Schizosaccharomyces pombe: one gene and its partner. The protein of the gene in region 2 purifies or fractionates together with the protein of the main gene of each other region. This does not show direct contact. Each region holds a gene or a part of one and is shown on either strand. Other genes may lie near its edges.

Region 1 (6,502 bases), on a different chromosome or scaffold from region 2:
TTCAAACAAGTATAATTTACAAAATAAATTCTAAATAAAACCATAATTATTTATTAAATGTAGAAAATGATAACTAAAGAAAAGGGTTTAACCGAGAGTTCTTTTTGCCTAAATATGTAAAAGAACGAATGAAAAGGGAGAAAGGAAAGTAAAAATTGAACGAATGAAGAAATAACTCATGCACTTGAAGATGCTTTTACGTGAAATTAACTCCACAGAAACAGCATAATGGTAAATATGAAAAAAAACATGACTTTAGATAACAAATAACCAAAATATTTTGTTTTCTTTGACGAACGACTCAATGTATTTGAGCTAAAGGAAGCAGACAAAAATGCACACAGTAATATCCTAGTGTGCTAATGAAAAATCTAAATGACATGAAAGGCTTTGGCCTTAAAAAAAATTAACAATTTAGGAATATAACAACCCACGTTTGTGTTCACCTAAACGCATCCCACGTTTCGGAGCAGCTTGAGCCCAGCTGTCTCGTCTCCTTAAACCAGCAGTTGGAGTTGCGATTATAGTAGGCTTAGAGGCCGTACTAGCATAATTAGCATACAACGTATACATGTACGTTGGAGATGCAAAGACAGTCGAGGTGGCAATGGGAGGACCTGCAAACGTGGTAAATACGGAATAAGAGGAAGTTTCCCATAGCGGTTGTATGTCGGTCGTAGCAGCAGTAAAAGTAGAATCTGGTCGATTTTGAATAGGTCCTGTACGGAGAACACCGGTAGTTTGAGATAGATACCAATCTCGCATTGTACCTGTAGGCCATACACCAAGAAAAGTGCTAAAACCAGTAAGGGTAGGAACATAAGGATACACACCAAGAGCCATCAAAGACGCATAAATTTCGTAATTATCAAAAGTTCCTGTTAGACCATTAACAGTGAAAAAGTCAGTATAGTCATTAACTATACCACCAGCATATGTAGATTGTGCCCAAAGAAAGTAAAGACGTCCAGCTGGTCCAAAAACCTGAGAAATAGCGAAGGGTCCAGCTTGGGATATAGAAGAAGGACTAGGGGACGTATACAAGACTGCACAAGGTTGAGGAGCATCCATGCTACCACTACATATATAAAAAACTGTGTTGGTTATGTCCTCAAGAGGTATTCCCGTATTAGATTCTTCCCATGAAAACGAAATAGCGGTAAAATCCATACTATCTGTTGTCGCCGGAGTGACGAATCGAATTTGCGCACATACATAATGTATGTATGAGCAGACTAGCAATACTAGCATCAACATGGTGGTTTTCATTAAATTCGACGGCTTGAAGAGACTTTGCAAATTTAGTGGTAAGCGATATATATAAATCGTTGCTCTGACAACAGGGATGTATATCGAAACACCTTATTTGACATGTGTAAACAAATAATCGAGAAAAGTTGGTTTATTGTAAGCTAATAAAAGTGATTTTTTTATTTTTTTTTATTTTTTATTTCATGCAATAAATTTCGGCTTAACTCAAAAATATATATCACGAACAAGCTGGATATAGTTAACACTGAATATGTTTTAACCTGAAACCTCTAATTCAAATTCTCTTCAGTTTAGCAAGTACTTACAATTGCTCTGTAAATTTATGCCGACTAGTTTAAAGGCCAACATCTTGGGAAAATTATTGTAACGTTTGAGAATCTTTAAGTAAAGATCTATTTAAACGATACTGCTATACATTTGTAATATCAAATGCTAGTCTTGTACCAAAAGAATGAATAACATGCGAACTTACTGAATCTATGTCGTGAATATTATGTCTACTCTATGAAATAATTGCGTTAGAGCTGTCAATATATAGGCCCTTTACTACCAGATATGCTTACTGTCTGGCTGTATTCCTAATTCATTCGCAGAAATAATATATCATTTACAAATATCACAGTGGTTGCTCCAAAAGCATTCTTAATAACTGCTCACGTTTAGATTTGAGATTTGAAATATCAGTAGTGGGTACAGATTACACCACCACAATAATTTACCTTTTTATTATCCCACTTTTCATAATGTTTTTCAATATCAAAGCTTGTGAAATTTAATCGTTAATAAATCTTACAGGTCTAAAATTATTCAAACTTGTTTTATTTTCTTATTGGTATCATTTGCAACCTCATGAGTGACAAAGGAGGAAATTGTCCAAGGCAATACAGAAAATTAGGGACCAAGTTTTTTTTTTAGGACGAAAGAAATTCTAAAAGAAAGGAGATTAACATATTTTTTCGCTTTATTCGTTTTTCATAATTTATTCAACACGCGTTAATTGCTTAAAGTCGTTACAGTCAAAAATAATCATAGCATAAATTTTAAACAAAAATGGAAGAAGAAGAATCTTTAGAAGGAATTATTTCTATAGATGAGTCTTTGATAACCTCACGTTTATCGCAAATTCTCGATGATGTTTTAGACGATAGAAGTTCTTCACATTCTGTGGAAAAACTTAAAGACGTCGCTGTTAAATATGTATGTTTAAAAAGATATTGTGACCTTTCTAATTAAAATTCTAGTTGCAATTTTGTCAATTTCAGCCGACATTGCTCGATAAACTACTGAGTAAATACGTTCCAAACTTGGCTAGCTATTTACTGAAAGTGAAAAATATCGGAAAATGTAACTCAATTACCGTTATCCTTTACCAGTTTTGTAAAATAAGAGGATATAAAGCTGTTCGCGTCCTCTTTCCTGTTGGCGTTCAATATATTAAGGAATTATATACATTATTAAATGAATCATCAAATAATACCTGGCATTTTCACTACATAGTTTTACTGTGGCTTTCTCAAGCACTCAATACCCCATTCCCGTTAAATTCATTAGATGATTCCTTGGATGTGAAGAAGACCATTTACACTATAGCAATTAAATACTTAGAAAATTCGGGAATAGACAAAGAAGCTTCTTGTCTTGTTTTGTCCCGATTATTCTCTCGTGATGACGGTTTGGATTTACTTCTAGGCTTTCTACACCACTGTGAGAGTAGTTGGTTTAAGAGAAGTATCTTTTACAAAATTGGGTGTCTTTTTTCCTTATCTTCTTTTCTTAAAATTTGTCCGAGAAATGATTGTCTTCAAACAGTTGATGTTGCGTTTCAGTTTCTGAATGTAGCACGAGAAGATTTAGTTGGACAAGAAAATTCAGCGTTGAGGAAATTATTATGCAAATGTTATACAAGATTGGGAATTGTATTGCTGCCTGTAAATTCATCCCCTAATTGGAAATACTCGATCAGTAACCCAGATAGTTTCTTTCAATTACCTGATGACTCTAACGAAGAAGTACATATATATCTGGAGGTTATTGTTGATTTTTTATTGTCATCTGTAAGCGACATAGACAGTTTTGTACGCTGGTCTGCAGCCAAAGGGCTAGCCAAGATCATAAGTCGTTTGCCCTGGAATTTGGCTGAGCAAGTTATCGATGCCATTATTGAATTGATGACAGAAAATATGTTTTTAAACCCCATAGAAAACACTGTAAACATATCAATTACTTCTCCACTGGTTTGGCACGGAGCTATACTTTTCTTCGCAAAACTAGCAGGTGCAGGTTTAATTAAGTATAGTAAATGTTTACATATTCTTCCATTGATCGAAGTAGTAAGTACACTTTGTTTTCTTATATCATTCTAATCCTTATTTAGGGCTTATCATACGAAGTAAGATATGGAACTAGAGTAACAGGACAAAGCATCAGAGATGCCTCCTGTTATTTTGTTTGGTCATTTTATCATTGCTACTCTAAGTCAGCAATTGAAGGCTTACAAACGAATCTTATTTTATGTCTCTTACAAACGGTATTGTTTGACAATGAAATAAATGTGCGCAGAGCTGCAACTGCTGCTTTATTTGAGGTGATTGGCAGACACGCTTCTATTCCCGATGGGCTTTCTTTGATATCACATATTAACTATGTTTCTGTAACGGATATTTCAAATTGTTATGGTGACTTGTGTATGAAAGTAGCTCATTTTCCTCAGTTTCGTTCCTGTGTTTTCCAAAGACTATTTACAAACCTTCAGCACTGGGACGTGAAGGTACAGCAGCTTTCTGCTTTTTCCCTAAGACAACTTTCTATTAAATATCCCAAAGAGCTAAGCATCTATCTTCCTCCCATACTTGATTATTTGTCTGTTGGTAATGCAGATTTTATTTTTGGCTATACGATTGGATTGGCAAGTATTATAGGTGGATTTTTATCCATAAGCTTCCCGTTCGATATAAATCGTATCCATGATTTACTGTCGCACAAAAACCTACTGTCCTTAAAAAAATTTTCAAGGCAACAGCAAACAAAAATTATTTTGGGAATTTTAAAAGGAATTCAACAAATTTTTGCCAATGATATTCGTGTTGACAGAGCATTTTTCAGTGAAGCATTTTCTGTTATAATCGCTGCTATTGATTTACAGGAGGAAACAATCATAAAAGACATCAGTGACGCTTACAGTGTACTTGTTAAATTTGATGATATGGAAGAAACATTGGAGGTTCTTCTTGACTATATACGAAAATGCTCAACAAGTAAAGAAGCGAGAATTGTATACATTATTCTACAGAATTTACCGAATATAAGTTTTCGATACCAGAAAAAGATATGCAAGCTTTTATTGGATATTTATCCCCAACTCGTAAGTAAAGAATTTTTTCACCAATGTTAACATGAACAGCACTCAATAGACTATCAAGCACCTGTTGCGAATGCGCTTCAAAATATTATTCCCTTTACTTATGAAAAAACAGAAAGCATTGAAGAATTTGTCAAAGAATTACTTCAGGTTTGCTCCAATTATTTGACAGATACCCGAGGAGATGTTGGCTCATGGATTCGCAAACCTGCAATGAAGGCCATTTCCAGTCTATTAGTCAAAGATTCATCTGGAAAAAAATTAAGTGAAGATATAGTTTGGTGTTGTATTTCCTATATTATAAGGCAAACATTTGATAAAATTGATAGTTTGAGGGGTTTGGCATATCAAGCACTCGAACAAATCAGAGTACATTACCTAATCAGAAGATGCGAAGCTTTGACTAATATTATTAATCGTATTAGGTAAAATGAGTTTTCAATTAAAATTCTGCTATTAACCACTAGTTTCAGGAATAATCCAAATATGGATGGAGAGGTACTAAATGAACTGAATATATCTCTGCTAGAAATACCTAATTTAAGGCTTCAAGCTTTTTACGGAATTACAGTATTTACTGCCGATGGTTTTGGCAGTGACTTAGTAAGTTATCATATGCTTCGATGTCTTAATATACTAACTCTACTAGGCAGTTAAATGTTTTGAATTTTATCTAAGTTATGTTTACCAGTTAGAAGATTCGTTTAAAAAATCTAACTCTCGTTATGGTAAACGGGATCTTCTACAACTCTATATAGACATACTTTCTTCGGAGGATGAAATAGCTCGTTTCTATTTTCCAATCATGAAATCTTTCACATCTTTGTTAGCATATGGTTGTTTCACGGACTTTCAAAACGTTAAGGGGTATGTTTTTTTACATTTTGTTCAAAATACTAATGATATCAGCATGTCAAAAGCGATTTTTATTGTACAGAGAAGGGCTCTTACTTGTAAATCACCAGGGGGACTTTCTGCGATACTAGAGTTATATCGGACGCTTTTTCTTTCCAAAAATGAACTTTTGAGGCATCATGCTTTAAAATATACGGCAAACCTACTATTAAACCCGATTGAAAAAGTACGCTACCAAGCAGCCGACACTTTGCTCTATGCGAAGTCAATTGGTTTGCTAACTTTCCTCCCTAATGAATTAAACCAAAAACTACTGACTTTGGATTGGTTCGTACCAGTATCTCAAAACGCAACTTTTGTTAAACAGCTAAGGAATATAATACAGAAACAAATAGATAAACTGATAGCTGATCGATAATAAATTTTGAACTACTTTCAGCTTTTTAAATAGTCGTGTATATGATGTATAAAAACGTTAAAATCTGCAATCAATAAAATATCTGGTGAATAATCTCAAATTTTTAGCCAAAACAGTTCGTGCTTATGTAGTACTAAATTGATGTCCATAAAAGGAACACAACCAATAAAAATTACATTTGAAAATTGAGAGTTGAATTATTATTACCTTCATTAGAATTGTAATTAAAAAGTAAGAGATTAAAGCATAAAACACAAAAACACCATCGTGATAAAAAAATGTATTCATGAGCCGTGAATATAGTAGACAGCACAATACGATGAATAGAATTTACAGTTCCGAACGAGATAGGTCATCCAATTCCTTTTGGTAGTCCATCTTCAAATCCTCCAAACTGTCTTGAACGTGTAGCTTGAAATGTATTATTTCACCAAGCACAAATGCAACCTCTTTATATATATTGTTTTTGTACTCCATGCAAGCATGTGCAATTTGATCCGCTTCGATATTTATACTTTGTATACGCTGGTCTAATTGAAGCATGCTGTTATGCGAAGAAAGTTTGAGCTGTTGTAATTCTCTTTCTAACTTATCCGATT
Region 2 (7,938 bases):
AAGGATCGTGTTCTTGAGTTAGTAGCTGTAGGTAAGCTAAGAGGAACTATGCAAGGAAAGATTATGTGTTTAGTTGGTCCGCCAGGTGTCGGTAAGACTTCTGTTGGAAAATCTATTGCATCTGCCTTAAACAGGGAATTCTTTCGCTTCAGTGTGGGCGGTCTGACTGATGTCGCTGAAATCAAAGGACATCGTCGTACCTATATCGGAGCAATGCCTGGAAAAATTGTGCAAGCTTTGAAAAAGGTGCAAACTGAGAACCCTTTGATTCTTATTGATGAAATAGACAAAGTGGGCAAAAGTCATCAAGGGGATCCTGCGAGTGCACTTTTAGAGCTTTTAGATTCAGAACAGAACTCAGCTTTCCTAGATTACTATATGGATATTCCACTCGATGTTTCATCTGTTTTATTTGTCTGCACGGCGAACACCATTGATACTATTCCTCCACCTTTGTTGGATCGTATGGAGGTTATTGAACTATCTGGATATGTTTCAGCTGAAAAAGTTAACATTGCTAAAGGTTATCTTATACCCCAAGCCAAAGCTGCTTGTGGTTTAAAGGATGCTAATGTGAATATCAGTGATGACGCTATTAAGGGTTTAATTAGTTACTATGCTCATGAAAGCGGTGTACGAAATTTGAAAAAATCTATTGAGAAAATATTTCGTAAAACATCTTTTAGTATTGTTAAAGAAATTGACGATGAATTAAATTCTAAAGAGAAGTCTACGGGTAAGTCGGGAAAGAAAACATCTCCTCAATCATCAGAAGATGCAGCAAACAAAGAAGCATCATCTGTTCCGTTAAAAGTTCCCGATAAAGTTAATATCGAGATTGAAGAAAAGGACTTGACTAAATATTTGGGTCCCCCCATTTATACTTCTCAGCGACTTTATGACACTACTCCTCCTGGTGTTGTCATGGGACTTGGTTGGACACCCATGGGAGGTGTTTCGATGTATGTAGAAACTATTGTTAAAAACATTTTATCATCCAATTCTACTCCCTCTTTGGAAAGGACGGGGCAACTGGGAGATGTGATGAAAGAGTCATCTGAAATTTCGTATTCCTTTTCAAAAAGCTTTTTGTCTAAGCATTTTCCAAATAATAAATTTTTTGAACATGCGCGTTTGCATATGCATTGTCCCGAAGGCTCCATTTCTAAGGATGGCCCATCAGCAGGTATCACAATGGCTACATCTTTACTTTCTTTAGCATTGGATACTCCGGTACCAGCGACTACTGCCATGACTGGTGAGCTAACCTTGACCGGTAAAATTTTACGCATTGGTGGCTTACGAGAAAAGACGGTTGCTGCCAAATTATCTGGTATGAAAGAAATACTATTTCCAAAAAGTAACTTAGCCGATTGGGAACAACTTCCTGATTATGTTAAAGAAGGTTTAACTGGTGTCCCTGTTGCATGGTATGATGATGTTTTTAAACGGGTTTTTTCAAACATTGATGCCGAAAAATGCAACAATCTTTGGCCAAATTTAATAAAGTCATCCTCCAAGCAGCATCAAATTTCACCCAGTCATTAACATTCTCCTATTAGAAGGATACTACCTTTATGAAGAAATTATCTAAATTCATTATGTAATAGATATAGTTAATAACGATTTATGTATTGTGCTATATTTAAAAGACAACATGTAGTTTGAATTTATTCTGTTCAATCGTTCGTAAAACAGTAATATCTTTCTATAAAGTTGATAGCTTAAGCCCTTGTTGAGTAACGCAATGCAAGGCAAATTCATCGCATATTTTCTTATTTCTTGGTTACTCTACTATTGAGAAATGGGATTATTGACTATTTTGAGACAGCAAAAGCTAAAGGAACGAGAAGTCAGGGTTTTGTTACTGTAAGATGATTCAAATATATACAGAGTGAAATCTAATGACTTTAGGGGGTTGGATAATGCAGGTAAAACGACAATTTTGAAGTGCCTGTTGAACGAGGATGTAAGTATCTTTTAAGGCTCCATAATTTATCGATTGATAGGTAAATGAAGTTTCGCCTACCTTTGGCTTTCAAATTCGAACGCTTGAAGTAGAAGGACTCCGATTCACGATATGTACGTAGCTTGCAATTTTCGAAATGAACAGTCTTAAGCTTACTAATTCAAGGGGACATTGGGGGGCAGAAAACGCTAAGAAATTTTTGGAAAAATTACTTTGAATCAACCGAAGCAATTATTTGGGTTGTTGACAGCTTGGATGATTTACGTTTAGAAGAATGCAGAAATACATTACAAGAATTGTTGGTAGAAGAGGTAGGCTGAAAATGTGAATTATCTTAACATGCATATAGAAACTTTTGTTTACTTCAATTTTGGTTCTCGCTAATAAGTCTGACGTTTCCGGCGCACTTTCATCCGAAGAAATTAGCAAAGTCAGTTTACAATTTATGAATCCAAGCTAACAACAAGTCAAGATATTAAATATTTCTAAATATAAATCATCGCATTGGCGGATTTTTTCGGTTTCAGCATTAACGGGCCTTAATATCAAAGACGCGATAAGCTGGCTTGCTAATGATCTAAAGGAGATTAAGTTGGGAACTATTGATTATTAAGTTTTCATCCGAGTAATCGTAAGAATCGGTTGTTCCAATCAACTCAGTACCTACAAAATCTTCGTTGAGAAGAAAGTCCTGTCGAATTAAATAGCTTGTCATGTGTTTCCTAAAATATTGTTATTTAGGCTTCTCATTAATAAAGATCACTTACAGGTCTCCTCCAGTCCATTGTTTTAGGATGTCTGCTCTCCTTTTCTCACCAGTTGGACGACGCAAAAATGTTCCTTTCGGTACGAAGGCAACACAATCAAGTATGATTTCATGTGCTGCCAAAGCCGTAGCAACAATAATTGGTATTAGGCTAGCGAATTTTTGCTGACTATGTACTTCCAGAAGAATTACTACGGATCCTGACGCTTGAAATAATATGCTGTGACATTAGCCTCTATAGTTTGTGATGCTACTTACCACCCATCTGTGCAAATGTTGGGATGCACTAATTCGATTGTTTCTTCAATATCCTTTACGGAATGGTTAAGCCCGTTTAATTCGAGCGTATTCCATATGAAATCTAAAGTATATAAAACTGGAACTTTTTCCATATTCTGGTCTTTTTTCTTCAAATGATGAATGAAACCTAACTGCCCTGTTCTCGAATAGCTCTTTTTATCTAATGTCTCTTGCACTAGAAGCTCGCATCCAGAGTTGAGTTCGTTGTTTTCACAATATGAGCCGTGCTTTCCGTTAATCCAAATTTCTCCAATTTCTCCTTCTTGACATATGTATTTTTCTTCAGGGTGAACTATGCATATTTCATTGTATAATGTGCTCTATATTAATTAGTAAATTGCTGCCTAATACTTTTCACGTACAGTTCCGGACCCATAAAGGAGTGGTTGTCTGTTTCTTAGGACATCCTCTCTTACGTTTACGAGACCGCTTCTTAGCTGATTGGCATCAAAGTAATCCTTCATTTTTTCCATGCTCGAATCCGCATTCCAACAAACGAAAGGATTGATCGGATGAGAGTATGCCAATTTTACCTTGTTGGGAGCTAGTCCAATTCTGGCGATATCTTCAATTATACTATTAACTAGGTCTTGTTAGTAAATGCGTCTTTCTGTTTTCCTACTTACCTCTAGAACTTATTGGTCTGTCGTAGCAAGGCACAATAATGCTTGACAAAGTGGAGTTAATAACAATGCTATTACAACCTTGAGCTGTTGAAAAGCTTTTCTGACAAATGTTAAGTGGAATCATAACCTTTGATAAAGAGTTTTGCTCGATAGCCTCAAAAAGCAGGCTACCATTGTTACATAAGTTTTCTTGTTTTATCAATAAAGTTGGTACTCCTATAATATGCGTTAATTATTTTTTTCACATTTTGAAAATATTTACCTGCATATACTCCAAGCAAGGCAGTATGCAATAGGCCCATTCCACTTGAGAATTCAATCCCACCAATGATTGGTTTTTCTTCATTTCCAATTACAAATTCTTTTTGTTCATGGCAAAATGCCAGAAGACTAGAATGAGAAAATTGCGTTGGGATGATGGAACCATCTTCCAGCTTATTAATACTAATTAGCGCGACTTTCCCTTTATTATTCAATTCCCCCGGGGTTATTAGATTCAATGCTTTTTTTGCACGTTTTGAAATGGGGATTCCAGTAGTTTCAAATATTTTGGGTGCCTTCATGTTGAGGTCAATGCAAGTTTGTTGAAAGTGATTTGAAATATCCCTGGATTTTAAAGATATAAGAACTTTATGATCAACAAGGATTGCTTCCACATTGAAGGCCTTTGCAATTTTTGTGAATTCTTCTATTTCCCCAATCAATTGTGATATTTCACGAATTTGAAACGGTATTGGTATCACCCCTAGGTGAAAGCAGCTATGTATGCTGATCAAAAACTCTAATGGGTCGTAATAAAGAAGTAAAATATGTGATCTTGCTTTAGCTTTAACTGATAACTGCATATATTCAACATGAGATGCAACTTTCAGCTCAAAATGGGCCCAAGTCAACTCTACTTTTGTTTTTTCGATAGCATTAAAGGTTAATATGGCAGGTGAAGTTGGTGTCTTTGCAGATTTGGTTTTTAAAAAGTCAAGGATAGTAAAGTGATTAAGCAGATTTTCTCGTGCTTTACTAACTTTGTTTTGATGCTTGTACGGATCCATCTTTTGTTTAACATTTAAAGAGATAATCTCTCTATGATGTTTGGAGGCATCTTTTGACCAAATTCCTTTTGAATTGTTTAAATTAATTTTAGATTTTGGTAATGCTGAATCCATGAAAAACCTAACATAGGATACAGGAAGATTTCCTGACAAAAAGGCCAGTTTACACTTATTCGTGTTGATTGCTTGGATTCCCATATACCTGGATCGAGGTAATGATTTGTAAGGAGCAATAAGTATGCTTAGGACATCTAATTTGAATATGTCTTGAGTGACTTGGAAGCTGCTCTCTGTTATTTTTACCAACTCTGAGAACAAATCTCTTCCTTTAAGCCGATTATTTCGAATTAACGAACGCTTAATAATTGGACTTTCAAGTACTAAAACGGAGTAAACTGCTTTGTCGATTTCTATTTCAAAGGCGACACCATCAAAAATTTCGGGAACATATTTCATGATTTTTTTAATCAAGTAATGAGAATAGTGTACATATTTTTCTTCCATTAACTTATCAGCGACCATTGTTTTCCGATATTGCCTGATTTGTTCATCTTTGTTTCCAAGAACAAAAATCTTTTCGTTATGCAAAAATCCTTTTAGACCACTATCCATGAATGAGTTATTCTTTTCAAATTTATTTTCTTGGTTGTTTTCGTAATCAGTTAATTGTTCCCCTTGTGGGTTGTTAATCACGCTAGCAGCTTTCAACTTAGGAAGACAATCAGAATAAACCCAAATTTCTCCAACTTCACCAACTTTGCATATATTCTTCGAATCTTCATTAACAACTGCCACTGATGCCTCAGGGATTGGATACCAAAAGGGAGACATGCAAAGGACTTCGTTAGGAGAATATTTTCGGATATCTAGAAATGGAACAATTTCCACTTTTTCCTTTTCTATTGAACTCTTTAATACCAAGATCTCTTGATAACAAGTATCGGCCATTTGCCGTTCATGTTTCTGTCTGTTGGTGTAACTGATCATCCAGTCTTTGAATGAAATAGGTATTCCACCAAACTTTCGCAAACATAATATCGGAGTGATTACCTCTTTGGAATTATTGGTACCTAAAGGTTGCAACCACCTATCTGAGACTATAATGTTGAATTCCGGGTCTACTACTTCGCATTCAACCATACACAACTTCAAGGACGAAAGGTTCGGTGTATAATTTTTTTTAAATGAAAGTGTAGATTTAGGATCCTCCTGATAATTGTACACTGTCTGCTTCAGTCCAGCATAATCAAACAAACTGTATGTACATCGATATTTAGTAATTAAATATGCTAATAAACCTGGCGTTTTTAGTACTTCTTCATCACAAAAGATGGTACAATATCCTGCAAACACAGAGTTGAATACCCCCATGATCAATCCTAATGGCATAGATGGATGGAAATTGGTAATGAGAACATCTTTCGAATCCTCAAAATTATGGAGCTTCCATCCAGCTTGACGAGCTGGATTGGTTATCATGGACGATGTCAGATTTCTCATCTGACTTAAAAATGTTTTCGTGGTATAAACAGCCTTAATATCATTATAGGTCGAGGAGCTGAACGTGTAATCAATGAGAACTGTGTCATTCGCACGCATCCGATACTGTTTGATTTGTTCAAATTTGTAGTTTGTAAAGTCGTTTGATTTCCACCATGCAAGGCTTTTTGCATTATTCACCTCTGTATCTTTTATGAAGATACGATAAGTAGCCTCTGTAGTAAATGCGACACGAACTTTTTCTTCATTGACAACCAACTTGAGACTTTCTGAAGATGAGGAAGGACTCAAAGGAATTACTACTATTCCAAGCAACAAACAGCCAAAGATACTAATAATATATTCTGAAGCTTCCGATTTTCGATAATATAAAATTACTCTGGTTCCAGGTTTAAGTCCAACGTGATTTTGCGCAACAGACGCAAATTGTTTAGCTCTATTCAGGATTTTATCCCAACTGTAACTCACAGCTTCTTTCCCTTTTTTATCGATACAAATATGAGCAGTAGAAGTTGGATTTTTATTTCTTCGATACTCAAGGACAGATATAATATCCTGCAGCGCCATCATTGAAAATGTTGGATTTCGTGGATCATTAATTTCAAATCTGGCTCTACGTGGAACTGTGAATTGTAGTTTTTCAGCTGCTGTGGCAGTTGATATATCTGCAAACAGCTTCTGAGATACTTTGGCCAATTGTGGTTGCAGCTCTGCATCCCTTGCTCTTTTCACATATTTTAACACTGGGTCTGGTATTGTCTCAAAAGGCAACTTGCTTTTATCTTCATATTTCGAATGCCTTACGGGATGGATTTTTTCGTTTTCTGAAGGTTTCATAAATCTCAGCACAGTATGACTATCCTTGAAATTTTTGCATTTAGTAATTTTTTTTTATATTACTCTTACCGTTTCACTTTTATAATAGACATCGTTTGCTTTCAGCATATGCGCATCTGTTCGAAGGGCTGAACCAGCAGAACCAATTTCAGATATAACATCCTCTTCTATGTCATGCAGTTTTGTCTTCTTATTGAAGTTGAAAAATGATTTTAGACTCATTTTATGGCTCACGTTCGCATACAGTTAGGAATTGAGGATTCCAAAGCTTGTATGAGAAATGTAAACAAATCGCTTATGTTACCTGTTACCTGATTGACTTCACTAAGGATAAACAATAACATTGAATGAAGTAAAAGTGTACTAAGTTTACAAATCCTAATTCAATTTAAAAATTTAGAAAGACTATGCTCTATCCCTGTTCCCCATCATTATTCATTTATGTGCGCAATTAATTTTACAAAATTAACAGTAAATACCAATCTTTTTTATACATATTAGAACGCAAAAAGTTGGATTGTATCAGCTTTTCGAAAAAAGATGCATCTACCAGGGATCGAACCTGGGACCGTCTGCGTGTAAAGCAGAAATCATAACCACTAGACTACAGATGCAACATACAACTAACAGTACTAATTAATATAATTTATTAACTAAGAAACCTGTCTTTACTAATAACGATTGAGAAAAAAGTGATAACAACAGGCTAAGCATTATGCGCTAACTTTGTTTAATTAAAAGTAAACATTCGCAAATTTTGTTGATAACAATGGACAAATTTAGTTGAATACCCCCATATTCATCGCTGTTTATTCTACCTTTCAGAAACTGTTCTTGTTAGTCAAAAGAAACAATACCTGAATAGAAACATTTTGCGGGAATTCATTCTTG

The links. Proteins that work in one complex are often made in the same cells at the same time.
Region 1: the proteins of alp41 (region 2) and alp1 purify together in Schizosaccharomyces pombe (affinity purification with western blotting, with the first as the bait; one study listed by BioGRID). This does not show direct contact.

What each region holds. Positions count from the first base shown.
Region 1 is NC_003423.3:3,352,546-3,359,047, reverse strand, and holds alp1 (tubulin-specific chaperone cofactor D Alp1), read left to right. Parts: upstream 1-2,000; 5' UTR 2,001-2,322; coding exon 2,323-2,469; intron 2,470-2,513; coding exon 2,514-3,602; intron 3,603-3,646; coding exon 3,647-4,633; exon of another isoform or gene 4,634-4,672; coding exon 4,673-5,055; intron 5,056-5,103; coding exon 5,104-5,233; intron 5,234-5,279; coding exon 5,280-5,497; exon of another isoform or gene 5,498-5,539; coding exon 5,540-5,903; 3' UTR 5,904-6,002; downstream 6,003-6,502. Other genes in the region: knh1 (KRE9-like protein), read right to left, coding at 415-1,269; protein Ndc80, read right to left, coding at 6,234-6,502. UniProt on the Schizosaccharomyces pombe protein: Has a function in the folding of beta-tubulin. Microtubule-associated protein that is essential to direct polarized cell growth and to position the nucleus and septum to the center of the cell during mitosis.
Region 2 is NC_003424.3:695,487-703,424, forward strand, and holds alp41 (GTP-binding protein involved in beta-tubulin folding Alp41), read left to right. Parts: upstream 1-1,799; 5' UTR 1,800-1,804; coding exon 1,805-1,869; exon of another isoform or gene 1,870-1,914; coding exon 1,915-1,969; exon of another isoform or gene 1,970-2,009; coding exon 2,010-2,082; exon of another isoform or gene 2,083-2,134; coding exon 2,135-2,280; exon of another isoform or gene 2,281-2,318; coding exon 2,319-2,399; intron 2,400-2,441; coding exon 2,442-2,582; coding exon of another isoform or gene 2,583-2,691; 3' UTR 2,692-2,736; coding exon of another isoform or gene 2,737-2,955; 3' UTR 2,956-2,993; coding exon of another isoform or gene 2,994-3,355; 3' UTR 3,356-3,397; coding exon of another isoform or gene 3,398-3,618; 3' UTR 3,619-3,661; coding exon of another isoform or gene 3,662-3,877; 3' UTR 3,878-3,923; coding exon of another isoform or gene 3,924-7,071; 3' UTR 7,072-7,116; coding exon of another isoform or gene 7,117-7,269; 3' UTR 7,270-7,554; downstream 7,555-7,938. Other genes in the region: lon1 (Lon protease), read left to right, coding at 1-1,548; mug62 (putative AMP binding enzyme), read right to left, coding at 2,547-2,691, 2,737-2,955, 2,994-3,355, 3,398-3,618, 3,662-3,877, 3,924-7,071, 7,117-7,269.